Caenorhabditis elegans: one gene and its partners. The protein of the gene in region 1 purifies or fractionates together with the protein of each later gene. This does not show direct contact. Each region holds a gene or a part of one and is shown in the gene's direction. Other genes may lie near its edges. The genes, in order: C27D8.2, Y73C8B.3 and nep-24.

What was found.
Region 2: the proteins of C27D8.2 (region 1) and Y73C8B.3 fractionate together in Caenorhabditis elegans (co-fractionation; one large-scale study listed by BioGRID). This does not show direct contact.
Region 3: the proteins of C27D8.2 (region 1) and nep-24 fractionate together in Caenorhabditis elegans (co-fractionation; one large-scale study listed by BioGRID). This does not show direct contact.

What each region holds. Positions count from the first base shown.
Region 1 is NC_003282.8:12,708,527-12,713,674, forward strand, and holds the start of C27D8.2 (BACK domain-containing protein), read left to right. Parts: upstream 1-2,690; 5' UTR 2,691-2,781; coding exon of another isoform or gene 2,782-2,893; 5' UTR 2,894-3,135; coding exon of another isoform or gene 3,136-3,207; 5' UTR 3,208-4,306; coding exon 4,307-4,329; intron 4,330-4,389; coding exon 4,390-4,498; intron 4,499-4,590; coding exon 4,591-4,860; intron 4,861-4,920; coding exon 4,921-5,148. Other genes in the region: C27D8.3 (Integrase catalytic domain-containing protein), read right to left, coding at 1-67, 296-551, 669-998, 1,189-1,575, 1,815-2,137, 2,782-2,893, 3,136-3,207.
Region 2 is NC_003283.11:3,190,215-3,195,362, reverse strand, and holds Y73C8B.3 (AB hydrolase-1 domain-containing protein), read left to right. Parts: upstream 1-2,125; 5' UTR 2,126-2,232; coding exon 2,233-2,376; intron 2,377-2,883; coding exon 2,884-3,037; intron 3,038-3,093; coding exon 3,094-3,375; intron 3,376-3,432; coding exon 3,433-3,554; intron 3,555-3,603; coding exon 3,604-3,699; intron 3,700-3,751; coding exon 3,752-3,940; 3' UTR 3,941-4,061; downstream 4,062-5,148. Other genes in the region: Y73C8B.9 (Transposase), read right to left, coding at 1,412-1,487, 1,786-1,805; Y73C8B.2 (AB hydrolase-1 domain-containing protein), read left to right, coding at 362-469, 925-1,360, 1,411-1,532, 1,588-1,683, 1,730-1,894.
Region 3 is NC_003282.8:16,921,935-16,927,082, forward strand, and holds nep-24 (NEPrilysin metallopeptidase family), read left to right. Parts: upstream 1-2,457; coding exon 2,458-2,607; intron 2,608-2,651; coding exon 2,652-2,781; intron 2,782-2,828; coding exon 2,829-2,914; intron 2,915-2,958; coding exon 2,959-3,204; intron 3,205-3,255; coding exon 3,256-3,540; intron 3,541-3,906; coding exon 3,907-4,026; intron 4,027-4,069; coding exon 4,070-4,324; intron 4,325-4,369; coding exon 4,370-4,532; intron 4,533-4,576; coding exon 4,577-4,845; 3' UTR 4,846-5,033; intron 5,034-5,082; 3' UTR 5,083-5,123; downstream 5,124-5,148. Other genes in the region: nep-23 (NEPrilysin metallopeptidase family), read left to right, coding at 1-70, 838-1,092, 1,136-1,298, 1,343-1,590, 1,642-1,800, 1,964-2,137.

The sequences.
Region 1 (5,148 bases):
CGGATAACTTCTCCATTCACCATGAAGTATCGACGAGTTAGATGTTTGAATTGGGACCATGTTAGCGCTGGAAATTCAGAAAATTTTTCAAAAAAAGCAGCTGATATTCCAAAATGGCTAAGTATGTATTATATACTTTTGATCTTACCACAGATAACGTGTAAGGACTAAAAAAGGAGACTAGCCGTGGTGTCTACTCTACAGCACTTCTACAGTAACCTCACAATTATCTAATTTTGCCTGAATTACAGGAGATTTATCGAATAATATTTTCAGATATCCGAAAACTTCTTACGTTTTTCATTCCAATTCAACAGCAATCCATTAATCCCGCATGTTCCATACATCCAAAAACACGTGGCAGTATACGAAGAGTTCATTCTCTGAACCTGACAATCCTGATTTCTTCGTGTGCTTATTGTGAATGGAAGAGAAAGCGTTCGAACATGAATGTAATTTCCCGTTGGTGACCACGTTTTCGCACGGATGTAGAAATAGAATAGTGGACGCTTTCCGGTTGTTCCAGCACGACTGTCAAGGAGCACTGCGTCCTGAAATGAGGTTGGGGATTTATTTTTGTCTATATTTTTTAAAGTTTATAGGAGAAATTTTGCAGCTCTTAAGATTTAGAAAATCAAAATACTATTGTCAAATTGATTTCAACCAACCTTCTGCCTTGTCGTGCACAACAAATGTGGATACGTTGTCTGCCACGCATTTGAATTATCACTGAATGTTGGTGGAATTGTCACGAATTCCTGACTATTCACATCTGATTTCTTGTGAGCTGTATTTCCACCGGTACCCTTTTGATTCGCCGTCGCATTATTCCTTTTAACTCCAGAAGTTGGTTTCATAGCAATCAAAGCTGCCGATGGGAAGACTTTGGGCTCTCGTGGACTACTATTTCCCATTCGACATTGAATTATTTCGTTTTGAATTGCGAATGCGGTCTCTTCACTTACTATTTGGATGTCAAATGATTCGAATATCAACGTCTGAAAATTTTTGCTATTTTGATAATAATTAAGCTCAATCAGCTAAATTCAGGCTTAGGCTTAGACCTAAGCATAAGCTGAAACTTAGGCCTAGGCTTAGGCTTAGGTATAAGCTAAGGGTTAGGTTCAGGCTCAGGCTCAGACATAATCTAATAAACAACATGACAATTTTCGTAAATGCAAGACTTACCCTACACAAGGTGTGACACGTGAAAGTGAACAGATTATTCGTGACCATAATTGACGAATGGTTTGGCTCATTACACATCAGAGCATCATTCATCACATATTCATAGGTAATAAAGACTTCATTCAACAACTGCCACAACGTATCAGGCGTTGCAAATGTATTCTGTGAGCATGTTTGACATTCATATCGGAATCCTTGAATTCTCACAGCGAGAAGACCCAACGTGTATGCCAGTGAAGAATAGTAACTCCGGATCTCATAAGTGTCTTGCTCGACTAGTTTTTCCTGATTTGATAGTCGATTGACTTGAGCTCTTCGGAGGCTTGAGTGAAATCCCGGAGCATTTTCAGCACAAGTCCTGCGGAATGCAGCGAGGCAAGGTTGGAGCTGGAAAAGATTATAATAATTTCTATCAATCAAGCTTGAGGAGTTATGTTTAAAATTACTTCAAGTTATCTTATATAACAAAAAAAATTTCTGGAATAAAATTATGAGAAACCAAACAAGGCCCGCACGTGATGTCAGAGTGTCCCGCAATTTTGTAGATCAAACCGTAATGGGACAGCCTGGCACCACGTGGGTCCGCTCAATTTTCAGTTTTTGTTTTAAAGCAAAACTTTACGTACCTGTCTGGTGAAATAAGCCCTCATCTTGATTTCAATATTACAATTTGGATTGTCCAGTTGCGAGTACAACCCATGTAAATAATGAAGTGAACTATTGTACAACTCATGAAATTGTGTCCACCATTGCTTCGCTTCAGGGCACACTTTTGGAATTCGCATCGGACGAGCAATGTTTACAAGACGAACGAGGATATGGTTGAAGCTTTGAGTAATATCTCGTTCGGGTTCTGATGGTAGACGAGACAAGCATGTCAATAGTCCCCAGGCAAGGATCACCCATTCGTTTTCGAATTCATCATCGGTTATGTCTGTTGATGGAAGTGCTGGAAGAAAAGAAAAATCGGCAATTGTCGGAATTGCCGATTGTCGGACATTTTCGGCAATTTGCAAACCTAATTATATTTTGGAAATTGAAAAAAATCACTTTTTTCATTCAAAATCCACCTTTTTTATAATTATTCGGGTAGATATTTTTCAAAAGAAAAAGACAAAGGATTAAATCATTTGGAGCTTTAACATAGAAAATTGTTTATTAAAATGCATGTTAAGGCTCCTAAATCTATTATACAAAAGTATCAAATTTATATTTCCGGCAATTTTGATTTACTGCAATCGGATATTCCGGCAATTGCCGGTTTTCCAAATTTCCGGCAATCGGCAATGTTGGCAATTGCCGCGTACCTCTGCCCGTAACCCCTTTTCTGAAATTTGTACAACTACTGATTGCAATTCTCTTCTTTATTAACAATCGACATGTGTATTAGAAATATCTGGGATCGTAAATCAAAACGCGTATCACTGTCAATTTTATCTCTGTCTTCGTTCCCCTTCTCTTTCTCTCTCTCTTCTCCTGTAATCTTATCTCATTTGTATCTTCTACCCAAATCATCGTCTACCCAAACAAGGATTCGGGCGCCCTCGCGCCCACGTGGGGGTCTTGCTTGGAAGATCAAAACTCAAATCTCACCTTCTATTCGTTTTTCTAGAATCTGTTCGATGTGATTTCGCAGGATACCAATGTTTGACTCGATGTTGGTCACTTCCTGAGCTGTTTGGGGGTCTTTGCTGAGCTGGATTAGCTGAGAACAGAGGGAAATTGGTCGTTTGAAAACGAAAATCCACTAGCGTGAGCCCCAAATGGTAGAATTTGCGACGTGGCCTAGAAATGTGCAAAACTTGGCCACCAAAAAATGTGTTATATAATTCTTTCTTTCAAAGTTTCGAGTATGCACAAAAAGCTTAGTTTTACCAGTGGCTGAGTTTTTGACACTTTCTAGACCACGTGCAATCTAAACCCCATTCTAAACGTAAAAAAACTTACCAACTCATAGACAATCTTCTGATAATGATCAATTGTAGAGAATGGGGAAATCGTTTTGTGTGGTGTTGTCATTCTAACATAGCCTGTAGAATTTTTTGTTTGTAAATTGAAAAAAATTATATTGTGAGAGAACGGAAATGCTATTTCGAATGTAGAAAAATAAAAAGAACCAATAGAGAAAAGTAAAAATATTTTTTGGAAAAGCTACAAAGCTCCCCTCTTTATCAGTAACAGTTGAAACAAAAAACAAGAAAAAAATAAATTGAGAAACTCAAAAATACTGAAGTACGAGTATGTTTCATTTACTGATGCAATAAGATTGTTGATGTGATATCTATTTGATGATAAAGAAAACGTTAGAAAACAATGAAAACTTTCTGGCTTTCTAAAAACATTTTCCAAGAGATTCGCAAATTGACAACACATTTTGCTCTTTTTTTGTAATTTCGAAAAATGTTCAACACACGTTTTTGGAAATTTTTTGGAAGTGGCAGAGCTGTGTACGAGACACATGTGTTGAAACACACATTGAAAAATGGAGGCCGGGGATAACCTCTTCCACGGTTATGCTTTGCAGCTCGTGTACTCCCCGAGGAGAAGATTTTCTTTATGTCTTTGCGAATTGATTGATTTTTGGCTATTTTTGGAAACATTTTTAGTATTCAACATCAAAAAAGTAGTAGCTCAGAAAAAGGCTTTTGTACTTACTATTCAAAACCTATCGAGGGATATATTGGTAATTTTAATTATGAACCCAAAAAAATTACCGAAAGGCAACATTTTTTTTTCTACAAAAATTGTAAAAATTCTTTGTAAAAAAGGCACAAGGAAATTAGTAAGGAAATTTTTTTTAAAGCAAAAATTGCAGGAGGTTCAAGGACATTTAAAACTTAAAGAGTCAAGAAATGGGAGGAGTCAATTTGCGGGCTTTTAGAAGGGTTACTTGTTTTTTCACACAATTTTCATCTTAATCAATTTTTTTTATTTTTCACAAAAAATTTAAATTTAATTCCCGTGAAATGATTTTTGAAACACGTTGAAATTATATTATCTTAAGTTTCATCTACCACGTTCCACAGAAAAAAAATCAATAGAGAATGTCATTTGGAAAATTCAATCATTCCTATTTTACTTGCTTTCGCAAAATCGACGATTTTGAAGGGTCACTCAAATGGAAACAGATAAAAAGTCGTCGTGAGTTTTTGGGTCTCACAGCGAAGTCTGTAACTTTTTGATAAGTTTAAATTCTTCCAGCGATTCGAAAAAGAAAAAAGTTGGACTTCCGAAGCTAAAGTCTTCGGAATCGGATAACAATGTGATATCGAAAAAGGCAAAGAAGAAGGATGCGACCGGTGGTGGGAAGGTAAGAGAGAGTTTTAATAAAATGCTGCTGGTGCATGGATATACCTATGCCTAAGCCTAAGACTATTTTCGTAATTTTTTTGTTGTTTTTAGGTTGTCCGCCTTCTCGGCAATCGTACGGTCTACCATCTTCCCGTCGAGGAACTTGCTCGCTGCTCTCAGCTGGTCAAGCAACAGCAAACCGCCGGAAACCCGATGTCAACGGTCGACTTGCACCGCTTCAGCGATCAATCGATAATGGCTTTCGTGAATTATGTGCAGAACCAGGAGATCAAGTCCGATCTGACATACTATGCGATCACCGAGCTGGTCACGCTGGCGCACACCTTCCAGATGAAGGAGTTGAAGATGTATCTGGAAGATGTAAGAACCTACATACAATCATCTAAATATTCCTGGTTAAAAATAAATATTAAATTTCAGAGCATAGTCGAAGCGGCCAAGTCCTCCGAAGCAGATCTTCTCCAGACGATGATCGTCTGCGACGTGGCCCATGTCAACCCGGACACTGAAAAATCTCTGCAAAACTTTGCCATCGAAAGCATTGAGAAGCTTGTAGCTCTTCCAGATTTTCACAAAGTTCCGTTCCACCAACTTTATCAAATCCTGTCAAGCTGCGAACTGGTGGTCACACACGAGATGTTTGTGGCC
Region 2 (5,148 bases), on another chromosome or scaffold:
ATTATGTGAGCAAATTGTAAAAAATGCGTTCTTCCAACCTGTACTGCTGCAAGGGAACACAAATCCCTGTATTTGCATAGTGACAATGCCTCCCCTTCTTCGAGAGGAAAAGGTCACTCTCAATAGAGCGCGCTTGCTTACGATTACCCTCAATTTTACTTCCTTTTTCGACCTTTGAGATTCCACGAATAACACGGTTTATTCGAGTTCTTTATTGATTTTTTTGCAAAGAAATTAAATTATTTTGTCGAGTTTAAAAAATATACATATTTTACGCTTTAAAAATTTCATTTCTTATTTTTAAAATTTAATGTCAAAACTAATTATTGTACCGTTTTCTTTAATCAATACAATTTCAAGAATGACGGAGGTCCCCAGAGCACGAATAAGTGAGCCCAAGCTTTTGAAGAAGCTAGTGAAATTTCAAGCGGAAAATGAACAATTTGTGGAGTTGGAGGCGGTTTATGAGGTGTGGTTCGAAGTTTTACTTTAATCTAGTTTTTTTTCTGGATATTTGAACCAGGGCGGGCGGCAAACGACCTTTTCCGGCAAATCGGTAAATTGCCGGAATTGAAATTTTCGGCAAACCGGCAAATTGCCAATTTTTTTTTGGAAATCTCAGAATTTCAAATTTAATCGGCAAAAATTGTACGCATCCTAAGAATGCTTCTACATCTATTTTGAAAAATAAGCAAATTCTATGAAAATATCCAAAGAAAACGGGGAAAATTTTCAAAAAGGCACAGTTTTAAGTCCTATAAAAATCCCTCTGAAAACTTCTGGCAAGTTGAGGTTTGGCAAACAACAAATCAGCAATTTGCCGAAAATCAAAACTCCGGCAAGTCGGCAAACCGGTATTTTGCCAATTTGCCAAATTTGCCTACTAAAAAATTTGCCCCCCTAATATTAACTTTTCAAATTCAGGACTCTATCACTTCCGGCTCCCCGTTCGGTACTGTAGTTGCTTTCCACGGCTCCCCTGGGTCTCACAACGATTTCAAGTACATTCGGAGCAAGCTGGATGATCTGAATATTCGATTTATTGGAGTCAATTATCCGGGATTTTCAAATACGCCTGAATATGAAGGTCAACAACACGCAAATCCGGAACGCCAAAACTTCTCCAACGCTTTGCTAGATGAGCTGAAAATCGACGGAAAAATTATCTACATGGGACACAGTCGTGGATGCGAGAATGCTCTGCAAACAGCCGTCGGACGTGAAGCTCACGGTCTTGTGCTCATAAATCCGACCGGGTTCAGACATCATCAGGGCATTAGGCCATTTTATAGGCTGGAGTATTTGGACTGGATGTATGGGCTTTTGCCAAGTTTTTTGGGAAATTCGATGATTTTAGGAAGTAAGTAAAAATATTTATTTAGTTCATTTCAAATTTTAAAAATATTTCAGTCTACAAAGCTATCGGCTTCAAAGTGAAATCTGGAGAGGAGGCCATGTGCGCAATGCGGTCCGTGATGAGGATGTCGCTGGAAGATCAAATTGAGTACATTGAGAAGTTGAATCAGAAGCATGTAAGTTTTCAAAAAAGCCTATCGTCTACGCCCTTCTAATTTTGAAAATTTTCAGACCAAAAAACTAATCGTCTTCGGCGGAAACGACCACTTGGTAGAAGAAGAAATTGTCCTAGAGAAATTGGAGAAACATGACGGTTTGGAGCATTTTGTGAGTTAACTTCTAGCATCTCTACCATAAACTTAAAATTTTTCAGAGATTTGAAGATGGAATTTCTGAAGAGGAAAAGTCAAAAATTATGGAATGTTTTACGGGAAATCAACTTGGTGCATCAGTTTTCGTGGCGAAGGACACCCATTTTCAGAATAAATCACAGGCAGAGCTGGTCGCTGAGTCCTGCAAGAAAATGTTGGATGCATAATTTTTTCGAACGTTTACTGGACTTTTACAAGCATAAATTAATTTTTCCTATACTCCCGACGGGGTCTAGACAACTAAAATCCTTATCAATTTTGACATATTTTCCGCTACAAATGATATCAACTACACAGACGACAATGTGGCCAACACTACACCCATCTATCTCCGAACGCTTTTTTCTTACGTCTCTGCGCCTCATCTAACCCCTACACTATCTCTTCAGTTCACCCAACCTTCTCTCTGCGCTCTCTTTAAATACGTGAACTCTCGCATTGTCCCCATCATTTCCTAGTAGAAAAAAATCCACTAAAATTTATTTTTCCAAATAGTTTTAGTGTAATGATAACGTCGAAAGTGTTTCTGGCGGCCTCTGCTGGCCCATCAAAAGTTTTTCAAAAAATGACGGAACCAAATTTGTGCCGAAAATTGGTAAAGTTTGAGACGGAAAGCGGGAAGAAAGTGGAGCTGGATGCGGTTTATGAGGTTAGTTTTTTTTTTTTGGATTTTTGCAATAGGGTACCCGGTCTCGACACGACAAGTTTTTGTTAAATTCAAAAAGGTGTGCGCCTTTAAAAAGTACTGTAATTTCAAACTTTTTTTCTGCTAAGTTTCATCAATTTTTCATAGTTTTCTTCACAATTTGTTCAGAAGTTTAAATATTGTTTATTGTATTATTAAAGTTTTTCGAACAAAAAAGTATACTTTTCTGCCGAAAAACTATAAAAAAGCAATGAAACTTCAACTGAAACACGAGTTAGAAATTACAGTACTTTTTAAAGGCGCACATTTTGCATTTACCAAAAATTTGTCGTGTCGAGACCAGATACCGTATTATTGCAAAATTTAGTATTCTTGATAGTACTGGAAAACTTGCCAAAAAGCAAAATTATCAGCTAAAAGTTAAAAAAAAAATTAATTTTGTGTTCAAATTTTCTGATGGAATGATTTTTTTAAATTATGAAACGAGTAGAGCCAATTTTATATATTTAGGACTCCCTTACTTCCGGCTCACCATTTGGTACTGTAGTTGCTTTCCACGGCTCCCCTGGGTCTCACAACGATTTCAAGTACATTCGGAGCAAGCTGGATGACTTAAAAATTAGATTCATTGGAGTCAATTATCCAGGCTTCACGTTTACAAATGGTGAGTTGATTTTCTTTAATTCAAAAAAATTATTTTAAAATAATTAAATTTTGTAGAGTACCCCGACCAAAAACATATCAACATCGAACGGCAAAACTATTCGAATGCACTGCTGGATGAGCTAGGCATCGATGGAAAAATGGCGTACATCGGTCACAGTCGTGGATGTGAGAATGCTCTTCAGACGGCTGTGGCTCGAGATGCTCACGGAATTGTGCTCATCAATCCGACTGGTCTGAGGATTCATAAGGGAATCAACCCGATTTCTAGAATGACAACTGTGGATTCAATTTATAAAATGCTACCATTATTCCTCGGAAATGCCATGATGTTGGGCGGTGAGTTTTTTTTTTGAAAATTTGAAAACCTCATACTAAAACCCTTCTGAATTTCAGTATATAAAGCTTTTGGATTCAAAATCACTACTGGCGAGGAGGCCGTCAACTCGATGAGATCTATGATAAATGTCTCGTTGGGAGGACAACTTGAGTTTATTGAAAAGACAAACGATATGAATGTAAGATTGATAGTTCATTATTTTGAAGCTTCATCTTCACAATTTTTAGGTCAAAAAACTGATTGTTTTCGCCGGAAAAGATCACCTCGTCGAGGAGGAAATTGTTTTTGAGACGCTCGAGAAGCATGAAGGATTGCAGCATTTTGTAAGTTTTTTTTTTGAAAAGTAGCTTTATTATACAATACAATTATTTTCAGAACATTGACAAAGAGATCTCAGAAGCCGAGAGACTGAAAATCCTTGATTCCTTTACGGGGACTCAACGTGGAGCTTCGGTTTTCGTCGCGCAGGACAATCATTTTCAGAACAAATCGAGAGCCGGCCTGGTAGCTGAGGCTTGTAAAGCCATGTTTGAAAATGAGAAAACGAGTAGAAATAAATTGTGAATCATGTAATGAAGACTTAGAAGTGATTTTTTGAATTTTTTGTGTATTAAAAAAAAAACTAAAAGTGATTTTTTGCAAGTTTTGAAAGTTTTTTCCCGAAAATAAAGTTTATTCAGGGGTGGGCGAAAATTTTTATTTTTTGACAATTTACCGATTTGCCGATTTGCCGCACATCAATTTGCCGGAAGTTTTTGGAGGATATTTTTTATAAGAAAAAAAACTGTGCCTTTTTGAAATTTTTTTCCCGTTTTTTCTAGATATTTTCATAGAACTTGCATACTTTTCAAAATAGATGTGTTGCCGATTAAAATTGAAATTCTGAAATTTCCAAAAAAAAAATGTGCAAAACCACAATATGCCAATTTGCCGGTTTGTCGAAAGTTTTAAATGCTGAAATTTGCTGATTTGCCGATAGGCCGGAAATTTCGATTCCGACAATTTGTCGATTTGCCGATTTGCCGATTTGCCGGAAGCAATCGTTTGTCGCCCACCTATGACTCAAACCATTTTAAATTGTCCCAATATCTTGAAACATTTTTAGATCGGCCTTTTTTCCAATTTAAAAGTACTCTTAACGGCGAAATTTTGCGATATATAACTGAAAAATACGGTTAAATTTTTTTAAATTAAAAATGAGGTGCGCCTTTGAAGAATAATACGATTTTAATCGTTTTTTTATCGTTCAAAAATAATTTTGTTACACCAGCTCTACAGTAGTCATTTAAAGAGTTACTGTAGTTTTCGTTACGAGATATTTTGCGCGTCATTTATGTTGTGTAATACGCATTTTTAGAGTTTAATGTTCCCGTAATACTACTGTGTCTTAATGTGGTTCCCATCCACTTTCTACATTTCAAGTACTTACCTAACGTATTAGAGATTAGTTATATTATGCTAATTTTTTTTACAATCCAGATCTTAAGCACTACTGCTCAATTTTTGCTCAAAAAACACGTCTATACTAAAATTTTCCTTATATGTATATGTGTGTATATAATTCTGGATACAAAAAGCCAAAAACCTACCTCACCTGTGCAAACAGGATTAGAAAGTGTTTGACAATTTGGCGGCGGGATAGAAGGGGAGAAGGATAATAAGTTCAAATACTTGAACCTTTTTTCTACAATATATTTTTTTCTAAATGATTAAAAAAAAAAATTGACAGATGTGATCCGTTCCAACCACAAATCTGCCACCTGCAAAACTTG
Region 3 (5,148 bases), 4.2 Mb from region 1:
CTTTATTGACAGTTCATTGGACCATCTGGTTTTCGAAACAACTTCTCAAAAAGGAAACACTTGTGAAGATGTAAGTTGGGCCCAATTTATGTCGGCTGCTTCACAATATTCCTTTTTTGAAATGCAGGAGTTGTCACATGTTTCATGAATTTTGAAGCGCCCGACGTCTACCGGGATCCGCTAAAACACAGCTAGTATTGCAGCCGGGGTGGGCGTCGGCTGCTGCACAATCTCAAAAGGACTGCACAGCCGCCGACACCTCACGGGTTCCGCGCCTACGAGGTAGACACAGAGGGGTGCGGTACCCGTGAGATGTCGGCGGATGATACTGGTTGGGGTTGCGATTTTAGCATTTTCTCCGTGAATTTCCGGGAAAAAAAGGGCTCAGTCTTATGGATTTGTACGTACGTAAATGCCACGATGTACGAAACTCCTTTTTTTTCGAAGTCATCGCATACCTTCCCCCTAATGTCGCCAGGAGTTGTCTCATGTTTCATGAATTTAGAAGCGCCCGACGTCTGCCGGGATCCGCTACAGCACAGCTAGTATTGCAGCCCGGTAGGCGTCGGCTGCTGCACAACCTCAAACGACTCGAACGAAAGACAACACGTACATTTGAAATTAGAAAAACTGCAAAACAAATCCCAAAAATTAGGTCACACCGTTTTTGGGTCGTTTTCTGGGTTGGCAACTAAATCGGGACCCCAAGCAAATAACAGCCACCGACACCTCACGGGTTCAGCGCCTACCTACATCGTGATAATCTTAGTGGGATGCGGTACCCGTGAGATGTCGGCGGATAATATTGGCTGTACAAAAAATCCTATATTTTTTTAGAAAGTCATCACATACCTTCCTCGTGCATCTCTCCGAGTCTTCATTCGCAATTACGTCGACAAAGAGAACCGAGACCTGATCACCCAGCTGGCCGAAAAAACTCGAATCGCTCTTCACACTTTGGTTCAGAACTCCACGTGGCTAAAGGCAGAATCCAAACAACTTGCTCTAGACAAAATTAATGCGATGGGAAAGATGATTGGGTATCCGGACTTTTTCGAGCCACCGGGCACTTTGGATGGCATGTTTAAAAATGTAAGTAGTGAAAACTTATGCCTAATTTACTTAATTTTTTTAGCTAAATCTCGACTCATCTGACACGTACTACACAGCTCTCAACAAGCTCGAAAGGTATTTTGTTGAACAAAAAATGGATTATTTCGCAGAAGAGACACCTCTGGATCCAGATTTACGCGTTTTTGAAATGAATGCCTACTACTATATTCCCGGAAATCAGCTGAGTAAGTACTATTGGCTTTTAACCTAATTTTCAAAGAATTTCCAGACTTCCTTGCTCCATTCTTTGATGATCCAATGTTTGACTCGACCTACCCCGATTATGTGAACATTGCCATGTCTGGGAACATAATTGGTCATGAAATGGGTCACGCATTTGGTCCACACGCAATTTTGAGAACTGTCAGAGGACGGGAAGTGTGGATGAAACCGGAAGAACTTGCAGAATACGAGAGCAGGGCGCAGTGCCTGGCAAATCAGTACAGTGAATATGATGATCCAGATTTTGGACGAGTTGTAAGTGAAACTAGGTGATCTTGAAAAATGATTTTTCAACGAGAAATTCAGTTTGACGGCGGCAAAGTGATCGATGAGCTTGTGGCGGATAATATCGGACGGGAGGTTTCTTGGAAAATGTTTAAAAGTCTTGACTTGACAAATGCGACAAGGATTATTGGATTTGAAGACTATGACATTGACCAACTGTATTTCCGTGTTGGAGCCCTGGTGAGTCCATGTCGACCAATCAGCACGCGCCCTCATCGCTGATTGGTCGACACTTTGGTACAGTGTTGTCTAGCCATTCAACAGCCGACATAAAGCGGGACCATTAGATGTCGGGTGCTTTGAAACTAATATTAGCAGTTTTTTCTGAAAGTATCTATTTCAGACACACTGCACCCCTCATGCGATGCGTGATTTGAAAGGGTCTATCGAAAGTTCTCATCCTCGGAAAGCATTCCGTGTGAATGGAGTCTATGCGAATCTTCCAGAGTTTGCCAGAGCATTCAACTGCCCGACGGGATCTCCAATGAATCCGAGAAAGAAGTGTGATATGTTCTGAACTTGTGTTTTAGGTTTTTACTAGAAATGAACTTGATTCCTCCCTGATTTCTTGTTTTAATTTATAGTAACATTCTCATCATTTTGTTCAGAAAAGAGATACCATTTAATGAATCAGCTCAGATTTCTGATCAAATACGAATGTTGATCGGTGACAACAGGTGGTTTGTCTTTTGTTTGACATGTTTGAATTGAATCATTGATACGTTACTGTTCACCAAAACATTTATTTTTTGACAAACTTTTTTTCTGTTTCATGTATTCTATTTCAGTTTGTGTCGTTTTTATATTCTTACTGCTTGTAACATATAATTTCAGATAATGAGTCTACAAAAAGCCAAGGAAAAGCTGCCAGGATTTATGCTTCTTCTTCTTCTCACCTGTACTGCTCCACTCGCCATCGGAGCAACAACTCCTGCTACCCGAAATGTCTGTAATACTCCAGCATGCATCACTCTTGCTCACATGTTGGTAAGTTCCTAGCACTCTGGTTTCCAACTATATCAAACTTCCAGCACAACTACCACGACCCATCAGTTGATCCGTGTGACAACTTCCACCAATTCGCTTGCGGGAGAGAGCATGAGCACGAAACGGAAGATATTTACACGAAAAAAACAAAAACCATCAATAATATAATGAAAAGTGAGCTTTAGCTTTTATTCTTTTCTGTAATTTAGTTCCTGTTTCAGGATTTCTAAAAAAGAACGAGACGTCAAGATCGAAGTCGGAGAATGCTATGAGAACCTTGTATAAAGCGTGTAAAACCTTGGAGAAAGTAAGTTTTTTTTCAAAATTTTAAAAGCAAAATTTAATTTTCAGAATTCCACAGCCAGTCGTAACAAAGCTCTTCAGGACATTTTCCAAGATATTCAGAGCATTGGGGCTTGGCCAGTGGTGGATGATAAGTGGGATGAGTCGAAATTCGATCTGAATGATTTCCTTGTTAATCTAGTGAGGTTGGGAAGAAAAAATTTTGGACTATTTCAAATGGCACGGTATGTAAACGTTCGAAATTTTGCTATAGGCCCAGAAGCAGCTTGGCGTCACAACGTAGATCTCGGAAAGGTTTCGGATACAATTTTATACATTTTGCACCTTAAAAATTTGAATTTTCAGACAATTTCCGAGATTCTGAAAGCTAATTCTGTTCAGACGAACAATAAGAAGCTTCTAGACGATTTGGCAGAGTATGTTAATTTGGAGAAGGCGTTAAGCCAGCACAAGTTCAACACAGTTCAACCAGGATATATTTTTTCTGAGCGATCAGATTTTGTGTCAAGTGTGAATTTTTCAAGGCTCGTCTTGGAAATGATGAGCCCCGACAAAAGAACTTTATTCCCGGAAGTGTATCAGATTATGTACCTAACCAACACCTCGCTGTTTTTTGGAAAAAATAATAATGTAAGCATTATATTTTGATAGGGCTTCCATGTAGGCGCCAAAGCGCCTGCCTCTGCCTGCCGCGCCTCTTGTATTGTGCGGCGCGAAACCCAAAAAGTGTCGGCCGCTGCAAAAGAGCCACATTTAGCACTATGTGGTGTCTTTCATTTCTTGTCATTATGAGGCGAGAGGTCGGCGGGAGGCGGGCCGGCGTCAGGCCCCCGTCCTCCGCCTGCCTCGCGCGCAGAACCCGAGAGCCACTTTTCACACTTTATTGTGTCTTTCCTATCTCGCTAAAATAAGGTGAGAGGCAGGCGTCAGACCCTGAAACCGCGCCTGCCTCCAAAGCACTATATTTCGACTCTCCGGAAGATATTCTCCTTATAGCTTGAAACAATCATTCGGAACACTTCTAAAAGAGCATTGGCCAACTACTTGATCTTCAAATTCATCGATACGTCTATCGCAGACCTGACATATGGTTCCCCATCGGCATTTTGCGAACAGGTAGAGTACTATGATTTTTTTTTCTTTCGAAAAATTTATTTAGAAAGTCATCAACTTTCTCCCTCGTGCTGCTCTTCGTGCATTCTATCGCAACTTTATAAGTAAGGAGAATCGGAAGAAAATCACCAAATTGACTGAAGCCACCCAAGTTCAACTGTTGAAGATCATCGGCGCAACTGATTGGATGAGCATTAAATCGAAGAAAATCGCGATGGATAGAGTCAGCAGTATGAATATGGTAATTGGATATCCAGACTATTTTGATCCACCGGGAAAACTGGATGGACTATTCGAACATGTGAGTAGACCTCCTAGAAATCAGGGCTTGATAATTCAATTTTAGCTCAATCTGTCTTCATCTGACACTTATTACACGGTTGTCAGAAAAATCAATCGATTCATGCGTGAACAAGAGATGGACTATTATACCGGAGAAGTGCCGTACTATCCATTGTTCCCGGGACTTATGACTAATGCCATGTATAACGCGAATGATAATAATCTAAGTAAACTTGCAAGATAATTAATTATCATAATTATATATTTGCAGTGATCTTTGCCCCATTCTTCGATGATCCATTTTTCGACTCTAGTTTCCCGGACTATGCAAACATCGCATTCACTTCGAACACACTTGCTCATGAAATGGGACACACTTTCAGCCCGCATTTGATGGATATAATGACTGGTACAACAGAAGTTTGGCTAACACCGAAGGAGACAGAGGAGTACGAAAAGAGGGTGAAATGCCTGGAAGATCAATATACTGAGTATGACGATCCGGAGTACGGGAGAATTGCAAAAAGCTGTATAGTTTGAAAAAATACTCAATTTTATTAAACATTCAGTATAATGGATCGATGGTGATCGATGAGATAGTAGCAGATCGGATTGCAATTGATGTTAATTGGAGGGATTTCAAGAGTTCGGATCGATCGAAGGATCAGAAGATCATTGGATTCGAGGACTACAATCTGGACCAACTGTTCTTCCGTATTTCAGCTATGGTTAGTGAAGTGCTAGTGAGAAAATAAATAAAAATATGTCATATTTCAGAGCTTCTGTACGCCGGCTCCACTTTCGCTAGAAGTGTCTAAGGCTTCCAACCATCCGGCGTTTGCC